Struthio camelus: one gene and its partners. The protein of the gene in region 1 interacts with the protein of each later gene in a pairwise test. Links are inferred from orthologs where the notes say so. Each region holds a gene or a part of one and is shown in the gene's direction. Other genes may lie near its edges. The genes, in order: CTNNA3, JUP and PKP3.

Region 1 (3,742 bases):
GGCCTCCTGTGTCCAGTAAGAATTAGGCTCATGCTGCATTCTTTTCCTTGGTGAATTTACTAAGAGGGATGATATCTGACTCTAGCTATTTCTTTTATTCTGAGAACTATATTTAAGAATTTGATATAAATCTAGTGTATTTGGGACTTCCGTCTGTCTTTTGGATGTGGTTCAAGTTGGCCAATGGATTCAAAAATGGCTATTGAGAGAAGGTGGACACAGAGGGAAATGAAAGGAAATATCAAAAAAAACCAAACAAACCTTTTCTCTCAGTATTAAAAATGTCTTCCAGTTACTTCACTGGGAATCTACTTAAATGTAAAGCCTTGTTAAATAAAGTAGCCTTCAGTGAATAAATATTATTTAACTGATATCTGAATCTTGTCACGTTCTTCAGGTCTCAGGCTTGTTTTTCCTTTGTGCTGCCTTTACATTAGCAGACGTCTTTCCTCTTAGTAATGATAAAAAGGGACTAAATCTAATGTGGATAGAGTGTAACCTGATGACTTTATGTGGAACTAAATAACGTGTGAGGTGCATTATAGGTTTTCCTCAGATACTTCCCAGGTGTCAGAGGTATTGCTCCATTGTACTGCCCACAAAGTGCAGTAGGCCTTCAAGCAGAAAAACTCCATGCAGTTCTACTGCAAACAAGACTAGTAAATTTTAACAGATAACTCCTCTGCAGTCTGAATTTTCTGTATCAGCTAGCGGATTAAAGGAAAACATAGTCACTGTTATTGTTACTTCTTTAAAACCTGATTTGCACTCCTTGTGCTGATTCTGTAGTAAAAGGGCTGACAAATATTAGTGTCCCAGAGTGGTGTCGACACCAATTGATGTAGTTATATAATAAATACAAAATTAAGAACAAGTAATAAAACATATTCAGTTAAATACTCTCAGCAGTGCTTAATGTCTTGAAAGTCCTTGGTCTCCTGTGCATGTGTTCCTTGTTTAAAAATACACATCCAGACTACTTTGTTTTTATGAAATACAGTTTCTGGTGTCTTTCTGGCTTTTTAAAAAGCAGTAGGCCTGTGCATTTTATGAACTTGGTAGGATAATGTAGTGTATGTCAGTGTAGGATAACATACAATGGAAAAAAAAGAAAGAAAACAAATCTGGTGCCAAGTGATTGGGTGAGAGCCTGATGAATCCCTTTGCTGTCTAGTTCAAAAGTCTGAATCTGAGTCATTGCCTTGAGACAGAAGTTGGCATACAACCAGAATGATGGGAAAATAATAGCGATGTTGAAAATGACAAGAATAAGCACCACAGGCAACGGCATTGACATGTTTCATGTTGCTCAAAACGGATTTAAAGGCATTTTTTTGATTTCTAAATTTTTGTGGGCATATTTGTGCATTAGTATATAGCTTTAAGGATGCCCATCCCCCTGCCACCCCTCCAGCAGCCACTGTGTCCTGTCACTCATCCTGAAATACACTAGAGAGCTTGTGAGGCAGTTGGCTTGCAGATGCCTCAGAAGCCAAATAGTGAGCCTTAGCAGTTGCGCTGAAGTTCCTAACACAAGGAAATTACATAGACAGTTGCTCTAGTGCTGCATATGGACCATTTGTGTTCTAGGATAGGTGAGTGATATGCTATTGGCTTTCTAATGATTTAGCAGAAATTAGATTCCGAAGTTAAGTTTGTCTAATTTATGCAGAATATCTTTGACTCTGCTTTCTGATGTTAATTAGTTTATGTCTGTGTACAGTGTACTTACACATTATCTAAAAGCTGCAGATACTGTGGTCACGTTTTATTGCAGGTTGATGCAAACTTCTTTGACTGTTTTTCAAGTGTCTTTTTTTCTTAAACTGAAGCAGTTTAACTCAGCAGGTTAAACTCAGCAGTTTCAGTTTGGACACATCTGCTGAAAAGACAAAATGTGTGTTATCTTAAAGTACGCTGCACTGGTAGAAGTGTGCAGGTGGTTGCTTTTCTGGCTCTTCTGAGACAGAAGAACTGTATCTTGTGACATGTGCTTAACATCCTAAGTGTTATGAGAGCTGATGGTCTGCGGTGCTGAAATTGCCTACTGTAAAGGTTAATGTACCCAAGTGTGAGGTTATAGCAGTCTTTTACCAAAATATCTCACAGTCAAGATCTGTACTGTAATTAGTGTGCAGATTATACTGGAGTAGATATATGCATTTTTAAAATATGCTGGGCTTTGATCTCCATTTTTTCCTGAGGTGAGCACTAAAACTTGTTTGGTTAATGAAGAAGCTGTCTGGAAGGAGAGAAGTTTGCTTTCTGAGTGGAAATATCAGAAAGAGCCCCAGAATGATCTTTACTGCCTGCATATTTTTCTTTTCTATCACATTACCCTTGCCTTGATAAAAAGTCTTTATCTGTATAAATACTAATTTACTAATATAGTAAATAGCAGTAGGGAGAACCTAATAAATTAAGAATCTGAAGTCAGTGTATCAAAATGATTTAAGAATTTGCAGTTTTCACTGCGTTGGCTTGCAAGTTAGTTTTCATATTTAGACTGCCTTAAGGAAGTTTAGCAGGAGGTATTAGCATAAAAAAACCCCCAAAACCCTAGAATCAGCTAGTCAGCCTTTGAATAGTTATGTGTGCCTTTGAATATAATTTAAATTTTCAGAAAATGAAAGCATTTTCACAATGAAAGTGACTTTTGGCTTTGACTTTCAGTTAATGATAAGAATTTATGGGCTTGATGAAATGCAAGATCACTATTGCAAAAGTGGTTGTGCCAGGACCTAAGCAAAGAATAAAAATGCCTATTTTAGAAAACATGGTAGGATTAAAAAAAAAATGGAGAAGAGAGAGAGAAAGTGACAGCCCACAGAGATTTTTCTGAGCTGAAAAGGGAATTGGATTTGTAACACTTCTCAACTTTGAGACTGTTCAGACACAGGGCTCCGGAGCAGAGTGGTGTCAAATAAGAACAGGTGATTATAATTACAGCTGTATCTTATCTGCCAAATTTTGTAAAAGATCTGACCATCATAGTTGATCCGTAGCATAGGAAGATGTGCAGAAAGAAAGGAGGGCAGCTCTTGCTGCAAGCAACAAAGATCTTATTTCTGAATTTTCAGTAAAGCAATCAGTAACCCTTTTATCAATGAATTGAGGTGAAGCCACGACAAACTTAAAGCATGACTATATCTGCAGAAAAAAATAAAGTGAAAATCATCTTGTGATTTCTTCAAATCTTAGTAGAAGCACAGAGTGGCTATCTCTGTCCAGTTCTTAAATGTCCCCTTGCTACTGATTTAAGATCTTGCCTGGAAAGAATTCACAGTAGAATCAGTACCATGGATTTGCGGTAGTTGTGAAGGATTTTAAAAGATGCCCATATATTGTGAGGCTGGTGAAGATTATGCCAGCTAGTTGAAAAGGACTTTTCAAGGATATGAAAGATCTGGCTTGATGCAATCCCAGTGAAGCTGGAGGACGGTATCCTGTGGAGTTCAATGGCCTCATCAGAAGAAGCAACTTTTCAGCAGCTTGGATGCTTCTCTGCTGTGTGGCTGGAAGTTCTTACGCTACACCAACTTGTTAACAGGAGGGCATAGACGCACCACACCCTATCTGCCAACCCTGCAGTTTCTCCAAATGGCTTAATGCATTGTTGATTTTATTATGAGAGAGGCAGTTTAAGAAGCTATTAAATAGGAGTCAAGTTCAGATGTAGAAACAAATTGAGAAGAGCAGGGACATGCGGGATGGATGTTTGTGGCTCCCAGAGCAAGTTACT
Region 2 (3,742 bases), on another chromosome or scaffold:
CCTGCCTCGGTTTCCCCATCCGGGCTGCACGGGGACCCTTCCCCGAGCCGGGCGATGCTCCAGGCCCCCCGGCCGGACCCGGCCGCGCCGCCGGCTCTGGGCGGCTCGATGCAAACGCCATAAATAATGCACGAGGCAGCTGCAGCCCCGATGGATTTGGCGGCGCGCGGGGGGCTTCAGCGGCTGCGGGGCCGCAGAGGAAGCTTGGGAAGCGGGAGCTGCCCCCCTCGTGGGGCGGGGGTCCCTGCACCCCCCAGAGCTTATCAGGGGGTCCCTGCACCCCCTGCACCGCCCCCAAGGGTCCCCCCTGCCCCAAAGGGGTCCCTGCCTGCCCCCCGAGGGGGTCCCTGCACCCCATGCATGTCCCTCAGGGGGTCCATCCTTGCCCCAAAGGGGGTCTCTGCACCCCTAGTATGTGATCAGTGGGGTCCCTGCCTGCCCCCTGCCCCCAAGGGGTCCCTGCACCCCATGCACGTCCCCCAGGGGGTCCACCCCTGCCCCACACACCTGCCCCAAGGGGGGGCTCCTGCACCCCCTGTACATGATGGGCGGGGGTCCCTGCCTACCCCGGGGGTCCCTGCACCCCATGCATCTGCCCCGGGTTGGGGGGGGGTCCTTCCCCCCCCCCGCCCAGGTGGGGCTCAGGCCCCGCCCCTCCCCAGGCCCCGCCCCCTGCCCGTGGGAGAGTCCGGGCCCCGCCCCTTCACCCCCGGTCTGGCCTGGCCCCGCCCTCCCGCTGACGTCACGCAGGTGCGCTTCCCCCTCCCACCCGCCCCCGCGGGCTCGCCCAGCCCCGCCCTCTGCCGCGCCCCGCCCTCCCCGCCCAGCGCCGGGCCGCTGGCCAATCACCTACGGGCGAGGGGCGGGGCGGCCGCGTCGCCACCAATGGGGAGCCGATAAACACGTCCGGGCGGTGGCGGCGCCCGGCCCGCCGCGGGCGTGACGGGCGGGGGCGCGGGCCAATGGCGGGGCGCGGGGCGGGGACGGGGGCGGGGCGGCGCGGGGCGCTGCTCGCCTTTTGTTCGGGCAGGAGCGGGGCGGCCGCCAGTGTGCGCGCAGGGGCCGCGGCGGCGCAGGTGAGCGGCCGGGAGCGGGCGGCCGGGAGCGGCGGGGCGTGGGGGTGGGGGGGGGATCCGGCGTCCGGGGGGCCCCGGCGTCCGGGCTCGGACCGGGGCGGGGGGCCCCGGCGTCCGGGCTCGGAGAGGGTGGACCCCGGCGTCCGGGAGCGGCCGGGCTCGGACCGGGTGGGGAGGGGGGACCCCGGCGTCCGGGAGCGGCCGGGCTCGGACCGGGTGGGGAGGGGGGACCCCGGCGTCCGGGAGCGGCCGGGCTCGGACCGGGTGGGGAGGGGGGGCCCCGGCGTCCGGGAGCGGCCGGGCTCGGACCGGGTGGGGAGGGGGGGCCCCGGCGTCCGGGAGCGGCCGGGCTCGGACCGGGTGGGGAGGGGGGGCCCCGGCGTCCGGGAGCGGCCGGGCTCGGACCGGGTGGGGAGGGGGGGCCCCGGCGTCCGGGAGCGGCCGGGCTCGGACCGGGTGGGGAGGGGGGGCCCCGGCGTCCGGGCTCCGGCTGAAGCTGGGGTTGGGCTGGGAGGATCCCGGTGTCCGGCAGCGCCTCGCCCTAACCTGGGTTTGGGAGGATCCCGGCGTCCGGGGCTGGGAGTGGCCGGGCGGCAGCCGGGGGCCCCCCCGGGGGTCGGGGCAGAGGCTCCCGCTAGAGGCAGAGCTGAAGCGAAGCTGCCTTTTATATATACAAATACATATTATAAAATACTATATGTATAAAAGAGGGAATTGTCGCCCCCGAAGGGGGGTCGGTGACAAGCTGAAGCCCCCGAGGCGGGTGCGCTGCAGACCCGGTCCGACCGGTGCCCGCAGCGATCCCCCCCCCCGGGGCGCCCGGCCGGACTTTCCGGCTCCTTTACTCCAGGAGCGACTTTGCAAACTGCGGCCGCCGTCCTCGGCGTGGCCCCTCGGTCCGCCCGCGCCTCGCTCGGCTCCGGGGCGCTGGCGTGGAGCCGCGGCCGCGCGTGGGGTGCGCCCCGGGCTGGCGTGCTGCGAGTCACGCAGGCTTCGCCACCCCGCTGGGTGCTCGCCGTGGCGGGTGGTATTTGCAGAGCGCTTTCCCCGGGGAAGCTGGTGCACCTGCGAAGCACCGAGGTTCGCCGGCACCAAAGTTTGCGAGTGGGGCTGCCCGCTGGCAGAGAAAAGGAGTTTTTCCCCAGCCAAAACCCCTGCAAGGAGCTGACAGCAAGGATCTGTGCAGGGAAACTAGGAAGATGGAGAGGGGGTGAAACTGCTGTCATTTTTGCTTGGCATTTGGAGAGGAGCGAGGGCTCTAATTGCGTTAGCAAAGTGATTAGCTTAATTAATCAGGTTTACGGCGCAGATGAAAGGATAATGCTGAAACATTGCTGGGAGTTGCCTGGGGAGGAAAAAACGTAGGCTGGTGTACGAGGAACTTGGAGAGAGGCGTTGCTGCCGCGAGAGGAGCGCGTGAGCGCCAGCCCCGTGCCTGCAAGCAGGGAAGGGCCGCGATGGCTCGCACCGCCTGTCCTTGGCTGGTCCCCTGGGGCCCAGGGCGGCCGCAGCTGCGTCATCCCTGGTAGGACTTGATCGGGCTTTGCTGTCCACCTACTCCCTGGGGGTCGGAAACCCCTTGGGTGGACGTAGCTCGCAAGCGGGACGGGAAGCAAACCTCACGCAGTGCTGCTCCCCCAGGTAACGTTTGGCGTTGGTGTTTCGGAAGGAGGAAGGAGCTGGTGTTTTGGGTCTGCAGCTGGGGCTGTGCCTGGTGCATCCCTGGCTGGGACGTGGATGTGTGGCCAGGCTGGCCCATGCCCTGCTTCTTGGGAGGAGACGGGCAGAGATGGCGTTTGCTTGATGCGTCGTTCTCCGGTAATGGATCTGGAGAGGTCTAAAGGTCCCTTCCTGCGTCTTTTATTGATGTTTGTTGGAGTAAAAGTGCAGAATGCCCAATTAAACTGTCTTTGTGCAAGTGAAGCCTGTAATTGTTTGTTGCTCTGGAGGAGTTCCATGAAGTGTCATGAAAAACCCATTTTACAGCAGATTTGGCTTAAACGAGTTGGCCATTAGGACAGGAATGTAAAAAACTCTTGGCTTAAATGGTTGAGATGTGAAGGGGGGGGAAGGCAATTGGCTTGTGCGCTGTTCTCAGCTGCATTAGCACAAGTGATGGGGGGCCGTCTTCAGGACACCTGGGTCCTTCAAGCTGCCCCTGCTCCAGGAGTTTGAAAAGTGGCTGCTGGAAACCCCCTGCTCCGACCCGCCGGAGTCGGTGCAGCAGCGACGCGGCAGTCACTTTCGAACAATAGACTTTATGGTCTATTGTCTGGGCGCTGCTGTGCCGGGTGCGTCGCCGCCGGCTCCGGGGAGGCGCGTGCGTCCCTGGCGCGGTCCGGAGGAGCCGGCGCTCCGCTTCCGACTTCAAACATTGGCCTCGGTGGCGCTGGCAGCTCGCCGTTTGGTTGCAGCTGGAGACCTTGAAGAATTTCACCTCTGGTCCCAGCGCTGTATTTTAACCTTAATATTCAGCATTGTCCTAATCCCCATTAATTCTATCCTCTCCCCCCCCCCAAAATCCTTAATCAGATCTAGCAGCTGGAGTAGGCAACTGTTTTGCAGCTGGGAGGCTTTTTTCGGTGAAGGTTATTCCTGTGACGATGGCTTCCCTTCCTGGCTGTGGTTTGGGGTGGGAGCACTCGATGGTGTTTGGCTTTTTATCG
Region 3 (3,742 bases), on another chromosome or scaffold:
TTTTTTTTTTTCTTGGTTGGGTTTTGTTTTTATTCTTACGAAATAAAATCGATGTCTTGGCTGGGATTTCCTTTCCCCCCGCCCACCGGCGCCCCGTCGCTCTCGGGATTGCCCCCTTCGGAGCCGGGGGGGGGCGAGCGGCGCCCGGGCTGAGAACGGGGCAGTTGTGACAGCAGTGCTGGCTCACCAGAGCCCCCCTCCACCCAGGGCCGGGCTCGGAGCGGGATGTGTTGCCCGCCGCATCCTCGCCGGGTGCCCCCGCGGAGCTGGCGGGAGCCCTCGCCCCGAACTGGTTTGGCCCGTTTCGGCGGCTCCGAAGGCCCTCCCGCTCCATCCCACGCGGGAGGTTGCGGCGCGAGACGGGGGAAGCGCCGGCGTTCGGGAGCGCGCGTGCCAAACGCCGCCGAAGCGGCGCCTGGGCTAAGCCTGCGCCCCGCGCCGGGGGCATCGCCGCGCCGCCGGGATGCTGCAGGCCGACGGCCCCGCGGGGCCGCCGAGCAAGGTACGTCGCTGCCTCGCCGCGGGTCCGGCGGCCGCACGGCCGGGCCCCTCTGCCCCGCGGTGCCACCCGCGCCCACGGGCTGGGGCACCCGGGGGGCTGCCTGCCCCTGCCTCGGCCAGGAGATCCCTCCTGCCTGCCCGCCTCGTGCCTCAGTTTCCCCGCTAGACGAAGGACGAGCCGGGTGGGCAGGGGGAGGAGGAGGACGGGTGCCCCGACCGCGTCCAGATCCCTTTGGGAAGCGCCCAGGGTGCTTTTTGCATCCATTCGCTATTTCTCGACGGGCCCCCCTCCCGCTCGGCAGCCGTTCCCCCCCCCCCCCACCTTAAAACCCGGCCCTTTAGCTTGGGCGCAAGCTGCTTTCCGCGGAGCCGGGCGCTGGCCTGGGTCGCGTTGGGACCTGTCCCGCCGTGCGGCCGCCCACTGGCAGCACCTTGCCTCGGCTTTCTCGGCAGCCGGTCGCCAGGCCCGAGCTCGCCCGCCTGACGCGGGCCAGGGCGCCGAGCCGCCGCCGGGGTCCCGCTCTCCCTCTGCCCCGGCCTTCGCGGAGCCGGGCCGGCGAGAAGAGCCGCTCGCGAGCGCCGGCCGGCTGCCCCGTGCCCACCGGGCGGGTAGGCGGAACCGCTCCGCCGAGACCAGTCACAACTCGGTTCAGGAATGCGCAGCGCGAGCTGAAGAACGCAAAGGTCGGGGTGGGGCGGAGGTGGGGGGGGGAGTTGAAGGCGCTGGGGCAAAGCAGCCCCCCACCCCCCCCCGGGCTAACAACTCCTTGGCGGTGGCCGTCACCGTGCCTCAGTTTCCCCCCCCCTTTTTTTTTTTTTTTTTCCACGCGGTTACGCCCGGCCGGCGAGGCGTGGCGGCGGCGGGGCGGGCCCGCTTCCACCTTAAGGGTTGGGGAAGGGCTCGGCCGCCATCACGGCCGCGCTCACCTGCTTAAGGTGGCCCCGGGGGAGCCGCCGCCGCCGCCGCCATGCAGGAGGGCAACTTCTTCCTCTCGGCCCTGCAGCCCGAGGCCGGCGTCTGCTCGCTGGCGTTGCCCTCGGACCGGCAGCTGGACGGCCGGGGCGGCCCGGCGGCCGAGGCCCAGCGGCTACGCGCCGCCCGCGTCCGCGAGCAGGTCCGGCTCCGCATGACGACGCTCGAGGGCCGGGCGGCCCCTCGCCCCCCCGGGGCCGGGCTCGACTCGGCCGCCCAGGCCGCAGGTGGGCACGTGCGCCGGGCTGCCTCCCCCTCTCCTCCCTCCCTCCCTCCGCCGCTGCTTTCCCCCTGGGGCCTGTGTGTCGTCCCCCCCCCCCCAAGATGGGGGCCGCGCCGTGCCTCGGTTTCCCCCCCCCCCCCGCGCGCCGTGGCCGGGGCTCGGCGCTGGCCGGCCTCCAAGCGCCTCCGTTGAACGCCGACGCTCGCGACGGACGGGGACCCGGGGCGGGGGGGGGGGGGGACGGGACCGTCCGCCACGGCCGACCCGTCTCCCGCTCCCTCCCGCAGGCGGGCCCTACGGCGCCGCGCCGCCCTCGGCCTTCAGCTCCCGCTCGCAGGGCGACGGCTCGGACGCCCGAGGCGCCGCGGTAGGTACCGGCGGCGGAGGGGCCGCGGCGGGGGCGCCGGCATCGGCGGCCGTCCCCTCCCTCATCCCGCCCTTCTCTCCCCCCACCTCCAGCTCTCTCGGCCGCCGGGCGACGAGGACTACGGCACCCTCAAGGGCGGCGGCGGCTGGTCGTCGCGCTCGGCCGCCGAGCTCGGGCCGCCCCGCCGCCCGCCGCCGCCCGCCGCCCTCAACGGGGGCCCGGCCGATGGTCGGGGCTACGGCGGCGGCTACCCGCCGGCGGCCGGCTCCTCGTGGCGGCCCAGCTCCTTCCACGAGCGCGCCTACCGGCCCCGGCAGAGCTTCGACACGCTCTCGCTGCGCTCCCTGCGGCTGGCCGACGGGCCGGGCCGGGCCGCCGACGACCGCTACAGCGTCGTCTCGGAGCGGCTGGAGCCCCGGCCCCTCTACGAAAGCCGAGGCGGCGGCGGCGGCGGCGGCGGCTTCGCCCGCTCCTACACCTTCGAGCGGCGGCTGAGCGGCGGCGGCGGCCCGGCCGAGTGGTTGGAGGAGGGCGAGGCGGCGCGGGGCCGCACCATCCGGGCGCCCGCCGTGCGCACGCTGCAGCGCTTCCAGAGCAACCACCGCTCGCGCCTCAGCGCCGCCTCCTTCGGCGGCCTCCAGGCCTCGGCCGGCGCCGGCGGCTCCTACCCGCGCCTGCTGGAGGGCGGCTCCCGCGCCCCCTCCGTGCGCAGCCTGGCCGAGCCCGGCCACCGCCTGCGGGACCGGCGCGCCTCCGACGCCTACGACGGCCACAGCCCGCTGCTCGCCCCGCAGTCGGGCGGGTGAGTGCCGGCCGGGGTTGCTCCCGGGCGAAAGCGCCGCGTCCCTCCGGCCCCTGCCCGGCGTCGCCTTGTTGCCGGGCAGGGCGAGGCGGCGGGCACGGTCGCCGCCGACTTGCCTCCCGAGACGCGAGGGTGGCAAGGCGCTCGCTCAGCCGGGTCCTTGGGGAAGGGAGACGGTTTGGTGGGTCTCCTCCGAGATGCCGGTGGGACGTGGTGGGACACGGAGGTAGAGGCCCCGGTGGACGCTCTAGCCCGGGCTGTTCTTCGCCCGCTTGTGGCTTCCAGGTTCGATGACATCGACCTGCCCTCTGCGGTGAAATACCTGATCGCCACCGACCCCAACCTGCAGGTCCTGGGGGCCGCCTACCTCCAGCACAAGTGCTACAGCGACGGCAATGCCAAGAAGCAGGTGGGCACCCAAAAGCCAAAGGGGAACATTTCCCCCCCACACACACCCTTCCCCGCCTCGGCATTGGTGGGGCCGCTGTGGGAGGGTGAAGGAGATGGAGGGAGCCCCGCGCTCTCTCTTCCCCAACCAAGCGGGAGCAAAGAGCCAGCAACCAGCTCCCTTGGGCGCAAGCGGCACGAAGGAGAGACCGCGTGGGGAGCGCCGTCCGTGGCTCAGCCCAGCCGGGCCCTCTCTTCCCAGGCGCGCAGCCTCCAGGCCATGCCCAAGCTGGTGAAGCTGTTCAACAGCCCCAACCAGGAGGTGCAGCGCCATGCCACGGGCGCCATGCGCAACCTCATCTACGACAATGCGGAGAACAAGTTGGCCCTGGTGGAGGAGAATGGCATCTACGAGCTCATGCGGACGCTGCGGGAGCCCGACGACGAGCTCCGCAAGAACGTCACAGGTCGAAGCGGGCCCTGGGGTGG

The links.
Region 2: the proteins of CTNNA3 (region 1) and JUP interact in binary tests that used the Homo sapiens proteins (3 or more experiments, as listed by UniProt). The link is inferred for Struthio camelus from reciprocal best matches to the Homo sapiens genes CTNNA3 and JUP.
Region 3: the proteins of CTNNA3 (region 1) and PKP3 interact in a two-hybrid assay, tested with the Homo sapiens proteins (2 studies listed by IntAct). The link is inferred for Struthio camelus from reciprocal best matches to the Homo sapiens genes CTNNA3 and PKP3.

What each region holds. Positions count from the first base shown.
Region 1 is NC_090948.1:38,531,129-38,534,870, reverse strand, and holds the start of CTNNA3 (catenin alpha-3), read left to right. Parts: upstream 1-1,479; 5' UTR 1,480-1,570; coding exon 1,571-1,595; intron 1,596-3,742. UniProt on the Homo sapiens protein: May be involved in formation of stretch-resistant cell-cell adhesion complexes.
Region 2 is NC_090966.1:7,328,744-7,332,485, reverse strand, and holds the start of JUP (junction plakoglobin), read left to right. Parts: upstream 1-1,018; 5' UTR 1,019-1,076; intron 1,077-1,919; exon of another isoform or gene 1,920-2,717; intron 2,718-3,742. UniProt on the Homo sapiens protein: Common junctional plaque protein. The membrane-associated plaques are architectural elements in an important strategic position to influence the arrangement and function of both the cytoskeleton and the cells within the tissue.
Region 3 is NC_090946.1:7,801,746-7,805,487, forward strand, and holds the start of PKP3 (plakophilin-3), read left to right. Parts: upstream 1-1,399; 5' UTR 1,400-1,469; coding exon 1,470-1,701; intron 1,702-1,984; coding exon 1,985-2,064; intron 2,065-2,156; coding exon 2,157-2,866; intron 2,867-3,151; coding exon 3,152-3,275; intron 3,276-3,515; coding exon 3,516-3,720; intron 3,721-3,742. UniProt on the Homo sapiens protein: A component of desmosome cell-cell junctions which are required for positive regulation of cellular adhesion. Required for the localization of DSG2, DSP and PKP2 to mature desmosome junctions.